3 linked regions of the Drosophila melanogaster genome follow. The protein of the gene in region 1 purifies or fractionates together with the protein of each later gene. This does not show direct contact. Each region holds a gene or a part of one and is shown in the gene's direction. Other genes may lie near its edges. The genes, in order: Stip1, GstE6 and Akap200.

Evidence for each region.
Region 2: the proteins of Stip1 (region 1) and GstE6 purify together in Drosophila melanogaster (affinity purification with mass spectrometry, with the first as the bait; one large-scale study listed by BioGRID). This does not show direct contact.
Region 3: the proteins of Stip1 (region 1) and Akap200 purify together in Drosophila melanogaster (affinity purification with mass spectrometry, with the first as the bait; one large-scale study listed by BioGRID). This does not show direct contact.

What each region holds. Positions count from the first base shown.
Region 1 is NT_033779.5:293,392-297,145, forward strand, and holds the start of Stip1 (stress induced phosphoprotein 1), read left to right. Parts: upstream 1-1,730; 5' UTR 1,731-1,880; coding exon 1,881-1,889; intron 1,890-1,954; coding exon 1,955-2,237; intron 2,238-2,312; coding exon 2,313-3,420; intron 3,421-3,585; coding exon 3,586-3,658; 3' UTR 3,659-3,754. Other genes in the region: U2af38 (U2 small nuclear riboprotein auxiliary factor 38), read right to left, coding at 231-981, 1,050-1,093.
Region 2 is NT_033778.4:18,403,952-18,407,356, forward strand, and holds GstE6 (glutathione S transferase E6), read left to right. Parts: upstream 1-2,059; 5' UTR 2,060-2,090; coding exon 2,091-2,759; 3' UTR 2,760-2,810; downstream 2,811-3,405. Other genes in the region: GstE5 (glutathione S transferase E5), read left to right, coding at 683-1,351; GstE7 (glutathione S transferase E7), read left to right, coding at 3,004-3,405.
Region 3 is NT_033779.5:8,413,845-8,417,598, forward strand, and holds the start of Akap200 (A kinase anchor protein 200), read left to right. Parts: upstream 1-1,845; 5' UTR 1,846-2,042; intron 2,043-3,754. Other genes in the region: CG13398 (uncharacterized protein), read right to left, coding at 1-1,035. UniProt on the Drosophila melanogaster protein: Scaffolding protein involved in the regulation of PKA signaling and anchoring to the actin cytoskeleton integrating signals propagated by cAMP, diacylglycerol and calcium.

The sequences.
Region 1 (3,754 bases):
AATTACAATTCTAATGGGCGCTCGGTAAAATATTTCGCGGGGGGTTTGTACATAGGTGGTGGAACTCCCCATCGTCATTTTCCTCCTCCTCCTTCCATCTCGTTTACTCAAAAGTGATATAAAAACGTGGAAAACCAACGCAGAGACTAAAATACACGATGCTTTGCGTTACTGCTTGTCCGTTGCTTTCTCTCTCAATTGCCACCGTACAGAAAAAATGTCCAGAATATTTAATACCGTCCACCACCACCACCGCCTCCTCCGCCACCACCTTTGCGGCGATCGCGATCGTTTCCGCGATCATTGCCACGCATGTTGTCCCGCTCGTTGTTCAAGTAGTTTCCTCCGCCGACACCGTCGCCTCTGCCGCCTCCTCTTCGACCCGGGGATCGGGACCTGCTGCGGGAGCCGCGACGGCGTCCAGGGGATCGGGAACGGGAGCGGGCACGACGGCGGCGGGAGTAGAGGTACCTTCGCAGCTCACGCGAGATGGGCTTCAAGTGCATGAAGTTGCAGAAGCCGGAGCGGGTACATTCGCCCATCTCGTACTGCCGACAGCAAGCCTCGCGGAAGTCGGTCACCGGCGATAGTTCCGAGTACACCGGTCGACCACCGAACCACCGGTTGTTCAAATCGTTTGCCGCCTTTTCCGCATCAGCCTCGTTACGGAATTTGATGTACACATTGCCGACCAGATGGTCGCCTAGGTTGTCGCACACGTTCATCTCCTCGATTTCCCCGTACTTGTCCTCGCACTCTACGAACACGTCCTCGAAAAAATTGTCGTAGTGTTCTTGCATCTCCTCGTCGGAGACGTTGGCCACCAGATGGGAGCCATCCGCGGATTTGGCGGAGTTTTGGGGGTTCACGTATAGATTTTGGAGAAGCACCGTCTGCGAGAAAGTGGGTTTGTTGTGGATGCGAGAGCACCGGTCGCCGTGGCGGCAGGCGCCGATCTTGAAGTAGAACGAACAGTTCACCCTGGGAAATGCAACGCCATTTAGTTATTAATCCCGGCAACGTTAAAATAAATGTGCCATGCGACTTACTTGTCCTTTTCCGTGCCAAAAATGGATGCCAAGTACTCGGCCATGCTGGCGGCTTTACTGTGGTGTTGCTGTGGCCAAAATGTGTAACTTATCTACCCGCTTGTCTCTGCAACGCGGTCAAACTGCAATTATGTTAGCCGCCTGTTTATTTAGTGATAATTTTCAATTATTTTCGGAAACCGAAAAAAGCAGCGTCTGGTCGTATTTTGCACGGCGTTGCCAGCCTCGAATCTAGAGTTGCAAATAAAATCGATGATTAGTTATCGATATTTAGTGTTTTTGGCAGCATCGTTTTTCGATACCTCTGTTCTTAATTTAAATGTTTTAAAATATGCTAACATTTTAAATATTAATTTCAAATATTTAAATATTAATGCACTTAAAAGCCTGAGGACTTATTTTTCATTTGACTAGAAAAATTTTACAATTCAAAATAAGAAATTGAGAAAATTATTTACGCAAATAATAATATAATATAAACATAAATAAACAATACAATAAAATAACATTTAAATTCTATAAAGCTCAAGGTATTATTTATATTTGATCAACAATTTTTTTAATTTATATAAGCAATGGAAAAAATTATTTAAGAAGGCTTGCTGGTTTTGTTCCCCGCTTGAGAACGAGCTAAGTTCTAAACCGCAGTCTGGAAAAAGATTAAATTCAGTCGCAGAAGCATTGACAACCCTATCGATTGCTTCTAGAAAAGTCGGCATTTTTCGCATTTTCACCTGGCACGGCACATTTCGCAGCGTGTTTTATTAAAAAGTCGTACAAAAATACAGGAAAAACTGTAATTCGACAGCGCTATCCTCTCCCTTATCAGAAATGGACAAGGTAAGTGCCCGAGACAAAGGAAAGGCGTTGGCATTTCCAATCAAAAACCCTTGCGGTTTTCGCAGGTGAACGAACTCAAGGAAAAGGGTAACCAGGCGCTCAGTGCCGAGAAGTTCGACGAGGCGGTGGCGGCGTACACAGAGGCCATCGCTCTGGACGACCAGAACCATGTGCTCTACAGCAACCGTTCGGCGGCATTCGCCAAGGCTGGAAAGTTCCAGGAGGCGCTAGAAGATGCGGAGAAGACCATTCAGCTTAATCCCACCTGGCCTAAGGGTTACTCACGCAAAGGAGCTGCCGCTGCGGGTCTGAATGACTTTATGAAGGCCTTCGAAGCGTACAACGAGGGTAAGTTCAAACACAGCTCAGTTATATGCCATGAATCACCCGACCTAACCTCACTAACCTCGGTTACCGGCGCAGGTCTCAAGTACGATCCCACGAATGCTATACTCCTGCAAGGCCGCATGGAAACTACTGCCTCGGCTCTGAGCTTTATGCAATCGCAGGGGGATATACCCATGGACGTTGATCCCCAGCAGGCACGCAGCCGCAGGGCTCCATCGCCACCGCCGGCGAAACCGGCTGAGCCCCCAAAGCCCGCTGAACCTCGGGTAGAGGACATGACTGAGGAGCAGAAGAATAAGTACTTCGCGAGGAAGGAGAAGGAACTGGGCAACGCCGCCTACAAGAAAAAGGACTTTGAAACGGCCCTAAAACACTACCACGCTGCCATTGAACACGATCCCACGGATATCACGTTCTATAACAACATAGCTGCTGTTCACTTTGAGCGCAAGGAGTACGAGGAGTGCATCAAGCAGTGCGAGAAGGGCATTGAGGTGGGGCGCGAAAGCCGCGCCGACTTTAAGCTGATAGCTAAGTCCTTTGCTCGCATCGGTAACACCTATCGTAAGCTAGAGAACTACAAGCAGGCGAAGGTTTACTATGAGAAGGCCATGTCCGAGCATCGCACCCCTGAGATCAAGACCTCGCTGAGCGAGGTGGAAGCCAAAATCAAGGAGGAGGAGCGAATGGCCTACATCAATCCGGAGAAGGCCGAGGAAGAGAAGGAGCAGGGCAACCTTTTCTTTAAGAAGGGGGACTACAGCACCGCTGTAAAGCACTACACCGAGGCCATCAAGCGCAATCCGGATGATCCCAAACTCTATAGTAACCGCGCCGCCTGCTACACCAAGCTGGCCGCCTTTGATCTGGGCCTCAAGGACTGCGACACTTGCATCAAGCTAGACGAAAAGTTCATAAAGGGCTACATCCGCAAGGGCAAAATTCTACAGGGCATGCAGCAACAATCTAAGGCGCAAGCCGCTTACCAAAAGGCCCTGGAACTGGACCCCAACAACGCGGAGGCCATTGAAGGCTACCGTCAGTGTTCGATGAACTTCCAGCGCAATCCGCAGGAGGTCCTCAAAAACGCAATGTCCGACCCGGAGATTCAACAGATCTTAAAGGATCCGGCTATGCGTATGATCCTCGAGCAGATGCAAAGCGATCCCAATGCGGTCAAAGAGTAAGTACCCGTTTGGCTTTATTCGTTCGCTTTTTTGGGTTTCATTGGTAAAATCTAGAAATTAATAGCCCATTTGAAGTTAACAAGCAGACTTACGTTTCTTTGGTCTTATATATTATTAACAACCTGTATACTATATTTTAATTAACAACCTCTATATTTCAGACACTTGCAGAATCCTGCCATCGCCGATAAGATAATGAAACTGCTGGAGTCGGGCATCATTCAGATTCACTAGGCACTCCAGATCCACAAACGAACATCCTCATACAATCACTAACTCACACACAAACCCCATTGATAAACATTCAGGAGAGAACCATTACGCATTATT
Region 2 (3,405 bases), on another chromosome or scaffold:
CTTGATTTCGACAGTAAATGGCTTAACATTTTAATTGGAAATTATCGCTTTCACAGAATTGATATTAGCAAACAAAAAAAAATGTTCTTTGTTTTGTGTTCAAATTATGCAATTAAATAGGCAAAGCACCCCCCTAAAAGGTATTGTTATTACTTTTAGTTACCTGTGGGCTAGTTTGCCTGGTGGTTAGTTTATCTGGGGATTAGTTTCTGTATTTTTCCATTGTTCTATAGAAGTTGTTGCATGACATACAATACCTTATCCACTTGTTCGAGGTCTTTAACATGTTTACTTGAATCATGGCAAACCAACTTGATAGCTTGTTATCAACAATCACGAAAGTATTATTTGAGTGAGTCAGTTCTAGATTGTTTTCACGAAAGTACTTAAACAATTTCGATTATCGTTCGACGAACCGTTAGACCGTATCAAATGATTGCATAATTTAAGCAGAACAGTATCTACAGAATTTGTAATTACACAAATTTTTAATGTTTCATTGAAACTTATGTTATTCTCTACACGAATCAACTCTTAAAGGACCAATCAACAAGAACCAACAAAAATTCTCTTAGAAATGTCTCTTAGCCATGCTCTCTTAACCTTTCCATTTGGTAACAACATTTGTACGCGCTCGATCCCAAGAATCAGTCAGTAGAGAACGTTAACTCAAAGTGCAAACATGGTCAAGTTAACTCTATATGGTGTGAATCCCAGTCCACCAGTTCGTGCCGTCAAACTCACTCTGGCTGCCCTCCAGCTGCCCTATGAGTTTGTAAACGTTAATATTTCGGGTCAGGAGCAGCTTTCTGAGGAATATCTAAAAAAGAATCCAGAGCACACGGTGCCAACACTGGAGGATGATGGTAACTACATTTGGGACTCGCATGCCATTATCGCGTATCTGGTGTCCAAATATGCAGATTCGGATGCCCTGTATCCCAGAGATCTGCTCCAGCGAGCTGTGGTGGATCAACGACTGCACTTCGAGACAGGAGTGGTTTTCGCCAATGGCATTAAGGCCATTACCAAGCCGTTATTCTTTAATGGCCTGAACAGGATTCCCAAGGAACGCTACGATGCCATTGTCGAGATCTATGACTTTGTGGAGACCTTCCTCGCTGGACATGATTACATTGCTGGGGATCAGTTGACCATTGCCGATTTTAGCCTGATCTCGTCGATTACCTCGCTGGTGGCGTTCGTGGAGATCGATAGGTTGAAATATCCCAGGATCATCGAATGGGTCAGGCGTTTGGAGAAGCTGCCTTACTACGAGGAGGCCAATGCGAAGGGAGCCCGGGAGTTGGAGACCATTCTAAAGTCCACTAATTTCACCTTTGCAACCTAGAGTTCTGAAATTATAATAAATAATTTGGAAACTTGTAAATATTGCGGTTTTTTATCTCTTTATATTTTAGATTTAAGAGAAATATCGCTGTAGGAAACAAGAGAACTTAGTTAGTTCCATTAAAGTAGCAAGAGAATGAAATGTGTATTAAGTACACAGAGAACCTATTACAGAATGTCGCTACATACATAGATAATATATATATTCTTGCCGGCAACAAACATTTTCGAGGGCTTTCCATTTTATTAACCTCTGTCAGCATGACTTGTATTTTCTGCCCGAGTACTGTGTAATCATTTTCACATATGATAAGCGGTTATCACAGAATACTTGTTGTTCTATGTTTGTGATTCATATAGTGCTCTCATATGTTCGCGCTAAAATACTTTTAATCAGTTTTTTTTTTATTTTAGATGTTGGGATAGGTTAAAAATAAACATAAAAAGAAAAGTAAAGTGAGTTCAAAAGAGTAGGAGGATACTTAAAAATTTGGGTTTGTATGACCAAAGACACTAGAATATTCTAGTATGACAAAGATATACATATGTATGCATGATTAGACATATATTCACATTCATACATATTATTATTGACTTGTAAAGTGCAGTAAATATAGAGATTTTTTCAAGTACACGGAATCTCTCTTAAATTTTCTCTTTCATTGATCCCAAGTTTTGTATATTATATTAGTTATTCGGCAGTTATGGGTTAGTTTGAAAAGAGACCCCACAGCGACAAGATGGTGAAATTGACTTTATACGGTTTGGACCCCAGTCCCCCAGTTCGCGCTGTTAAGCTTACTTTGGCCGCTCTAAACCTAACCTACGAATATGTAAACGTTGACATTGTGGCTCGTGCCCAACTTTCACCGGAATATCTGGAGAAGAATCCACAGCATACGGTGCCCACCCTGGAGGATGACGGTCACTACATCTGGGATTCGCATGCCATTATTGCCTATTTGGTCTCGAAATATGCCGATTCCGATGCCCTATACCCGAAAGATCCTCTCAAGCGGGCTGTTGTGGATCAGCGGCTGCACTTTGAATCCGGAGTGGTCTTTGCCAATGGCATAAGGAGCATATCGAAGTCAGTGCTCTTCCAGGGACAGACGAAAGTACCCAAGGAGCGATACGATGCCATTATCGAGATCTACGATTTTGTGGAAACTTTTCTCAAGGGACAGGATTACATTGCTGGCAATCAACTGACCATTGCGGATTTCAGTCTCGTTTCATCGGTGGCCTCCCTTGAGGCCTTCGTGGCCTTGGATACGACTAAGTATCCCAGGATCGGTGCTTGGATCAAAAAGCTGGAACAGCTTCCATACTACGAGGAAGCCAATGGCAAGGGCGTCCGCCAGTTGGTGGCCATTTTCAAGAAGACCAATTTCACATTCGAAGCATGATATTATTTTACAGTTTATATAGTCACAATAAATAATTGCTTAGAAAACTCTAGAGCTTTTGAATTTTTGTGGTGAAATAATTGATTTGGACACAAATGAATAGAAGAGGCGAGAGCAAAAACCTAACTGACTTTCTTATCTACTGCTCTCGCTTCTCTTAATTACTCTCTTTCGAAATTCTATAAATATAGTGACTCTTCGCTGTTGACGTTTAGTAATAGACGAGACTCTACCCAGCGACAAGATGCCCAAATTGATACTGTACGGCTTGGAGGCAAGTCCACCAGTTCGTGCCGTCAAATTGACCTTGGCTGCCCTGGAGGTTCCCTACGAATTCGTGGAGGTAAACACTCGGGCCAAGGAAAACTTCTCTGAGGAGTTTCTGAAGAAGAATCCACAGCACACGGTGCCCACGTTGGAGGACGATGGACATTATATCTGGGACTCACATGCCATTATTGCCTATCTGGTGTCCAAATACGGCAAAACGGACAGTCTCTATCCGAAAGATCTCCTCCAGCGTGCTGTCGTGGATCAGCGATTGCATTTCGAGTCCGGAGTGATCTTCGCTAATGCACTGAGAAGCATTACCAAGCCACTTTTCGCCGGTAAGCAAACGATGATTCCCAAGGAGCGTTACGATGCG
Region 3 (3,754 bases), 8.1 Mb from region 1:
TGGTGCGGTGACAGCTGCTGGGGTGGAGATCAGTGATAAGCCGCTGCCAAATCCATTGATCGCCTTTGATGAACCCGCCGGTCCCACGGGACTTCGCGGCTGATCAAGATCCAGCACTATATAGTTTACTCCGCAGCTGCCCGCTAAGCTGGTGGGCGTGGCCGGCTCTTGATTGGAAATTGGTTCCCTCGGCAGCAGAGGGAGCTCCAAGCGATTTACGTTCTCATAGCAGCGCTCATTGTTCAGATCAAAGATCAGAGCTTCCACATTGGCGTACATGTGCACAGCATCGTTGGGACTCAGAACTGGAGCTGGTGCTGGGGCCGATTCCAGAGGTGGCAAGTCCATCGTGCGCCTACGTGATGTCAACCTATTGCCGGAGGGCGGGGTGGAAAGCAAATCCGAGGCGGTGCCTTCCAGACAACAGTCCTGCAAAGCCCGCAATGGCTGATCCAAATAGGCACTGGGTATCAGGACTGGTGATTGCAAATTGGGCGGAGAGTCATCGACTTGCGAATCGTTGGCCTGCAGCGGATACGATGCACTTGTGCTCGAGGGCTCACTGTGGAAGTTGCCCAACTGGCGGCTCATTAGGGGAGCCGGCTCTAGATAGTTATTGCCCTCAGTACGGCCCATATTTACGGACACCGAATGAGCGGAGTTAACCCTTTCTCGTTCGCCCTGCACAAAGGCATCTGTATTCACCGCGTTGATGTAGCGCTGAAACATCGGATACAGCTGCTCGGCATTGTGGACTCGAAACGTGTAGATCCCTGGCCCAGACATACACCTACGTCCTGCTTCGAAGGAGAAGAGATCGTTATTCAACCCATAACGTCGGAGGTGTTGCAGTGCCCAGACAATGGGCTCACAGCCAGGCGACTGGAATATTAGTTCCCGGGGCGTTAGCTCCAGGTAGCCACTCCGGATGATGGGCGTACCCGGGGTGGGTTGCAGGTGAGCCACTCGCACTCGAAACACATTCTCATGACCGCGCAGCTCATTTAACTTGCTGCTGCTGGTGATGCAGCCCATGGTGTTGCACTGAAAGACGGAGTATTATGCATTGAAGGATTATCCACTCCAGTCATGTACAGTGCCTATTGAAATGCACACCTGGACAGGCAAGTCCGCCTGGCTGTTATCGCAGCGGGCATGGAAGAAATCGCAGGCCGATAAGAGCACCACCCACCGCCTCCACCAGCTGAAATCAGCTACCCAGTGGAACTGGAGGCTCTGGGGTGCAGTCGAATTGTGTTGCTGTTATCCTGGTTGACTCCTCCTGCTTTGGTTAACTCCTGATCGACGGGACTGCTGGCTGATTGTTGTTATTTGGCCACGGAAATTCCGTTCTTGTGGTATAAAATTTCTTCTGCGACTTTTCCCCTCGCCCGACAGAACGCAATTGTGAGCAACGGGCATGCTAACTTGATTTTCGCAAAAAGACTTACAAGAAACGCTTTTTAAAAAAGTAAACGGAAAATCAAAGACAAATTACAAGTAATTACACTTAAAGAATGAAAAACTAGTTTAGCCAAGTTTAAGCCAAGGAAATATTAATATTTCAAAATTTATAGAAAAATATTGCAAATGTCAGCTTAATAGAAGTTTTCTCTCGTTTAATAGAATAATCTTGAAGATTTCTTACGTCGTAATTTTTACGTTTCTGCAAATGTTTACTGCAATTAACAAGTAATAAATAGGATTCAGATGTAAACAAATATAATTTATAAAAAAATTTTAAGTTAAGGCATTTTAGTCATCTTAATTGTATGGTTAACCATTTGGCGGAACATCAACTTTGTGGACAGCACTATAACTAGACCCGAAGCCCTAACGCGTTCTAACTGCGAAAACATCCTAACGCGACGTAAATACCAGACCCGAGCGGACATTTTTTATTTGTGGAGCGCGCAACAAGAACGAGAAAAGAAACCGAAACGGAAAGCAGGCAAAAAGAGCTGCTGCCAGTGTAGAATCGCAAAGCAAAGAAAGAAGCAAGTGCGTGTGTTTTTAAACCGAAACCGAGAGAATCGAGCCAGGTAAATTCCACTTTAAGTCATAAGATCAGAACATAAAGGAGTTAATTTAAAAAAATAAATGAAAAAGAAACCAAAGCCAAGCAGGCAGACGGCTTGCGTGTGTGTGTGTGCGTGAGTGGTGCTACTTTTGAAATTCTCTATACCCGCTTTGAATTTCGTGTTTGTTTAAAGGAATTGTGATTGAAAAGGAGACAAAGAGTTATTGACGAAAAGTTTCTAACTGGTTTCAAAAATGGTAACTGTATTTGAGGCACAAGTGTTTGTAAAAGAGACGCCCGCCGACGCTCACACACACAGGCAGGAAAAAGGACGCCATGGAAGGCGGCTTAGTGTGCGTGAACGGTGAAGAATGGGAGAAGCGAAGACTAAAAGAGATATTTAAATGGAGTTTTATGCATTTAAGGAGAACTTTCTTTGTCATTAACCCCGCCCCCGCAAAATACAGCATTCGAATTTCGCCACCTTGGAGTAGTTGCCTTTTTACAAAATTTTTGGGTGTGCCGCCTTCAATGCGTCGGCGTTGCCACCACGTCGGCGTCCGCAGCAGCAGCGCAGGCAGTGACGGCGGCAGAGGCAAACACCATGCCGGTGTGGCTTTGTATCCGTATCCGTCTCGCTCTCTCTCTCTCTCTTTGTCTCTTCGGCTCAATCTAGCGCTCTCTCCTTTTTGTGCCTCGCCTTCCTTCGCCTCGCCCGCTCATCGCTCTGGTCCTTTGTGCCATCGCTTCGCCTTGACTTCTGGTTCATTGTCGTTGTCTCCTCTTTGTTTGCATTGTACGCCTGATTACACTTGCCAACATGTTTCTACCTTCTCAGCCAAACATCCTTGTGCAAGGTGCACGCACATAGCGAGTGCCCACTGTGGCCATTTGATCTTTGTATACGTTTCGATCCCTTTTGCGTCTCGGTTTACTCAGATTATCGATACGAGGAGGATCGTCTTTTTGTTTTTCCTACACTTTTGTTGCGAAAAACTGCGTCGCACTTTCTGCAGCGTCGGTTTGTCAGTTCGTCCGTCCGTCCGTCACTCAGTCGTTCAATCGCTCAATCGCAGACGGGCAGACAGCCACCGCCCTAACTGGCGTCGCCTACATGTCTTTGTGTGTGTGGTGTATGTGCTTGCGTGCCTGGGGTAGTGTGCCTGTGTGCGTGCCTCGCTGCATGTGTGAGTCCTTTACGAATGGAGTGGGTGGGCAGAGGCCGAGGAGGAAGAAGCAGAAGCGCAATCACAAGATTTTCGATTGTCAACTGCAATTTATACTACTGCTAAGAGAATTTTATGATCTACTTGCAACGCTGAATGCTAATGCCTTAAATTTTAGTAGCCTCTGTCAAGGATCTTAAATTCAAGTTCTTGTCACAATCATATTTCTTAAGTATATAATTACTTTTATTGTTAAATATTTGTACTGTACTTAATACGTAAAACGTATTTGACAAGTGAAATTTCATGATTGCTCTACTGAAATCTTTTCTTTGAAAATGAATGCTCTTCTTTGTGTTCTAACCTGACCAAATTTATTTGTCAGTGACCCAATTTAGGCACCAAAACTGTAAATATTTCCGAAAATCTTATCAATTTGCCTGTTGAAAATTTGATTAGGAATGGAGTTTGCATTCTGAATTTTCCCCACTCCCGAAATTTGAGCAAATTGAATTATTTCGCTGCGATTTCAGGTAGCGGTCGCCAACCGAATGTATCTTTGAAATTG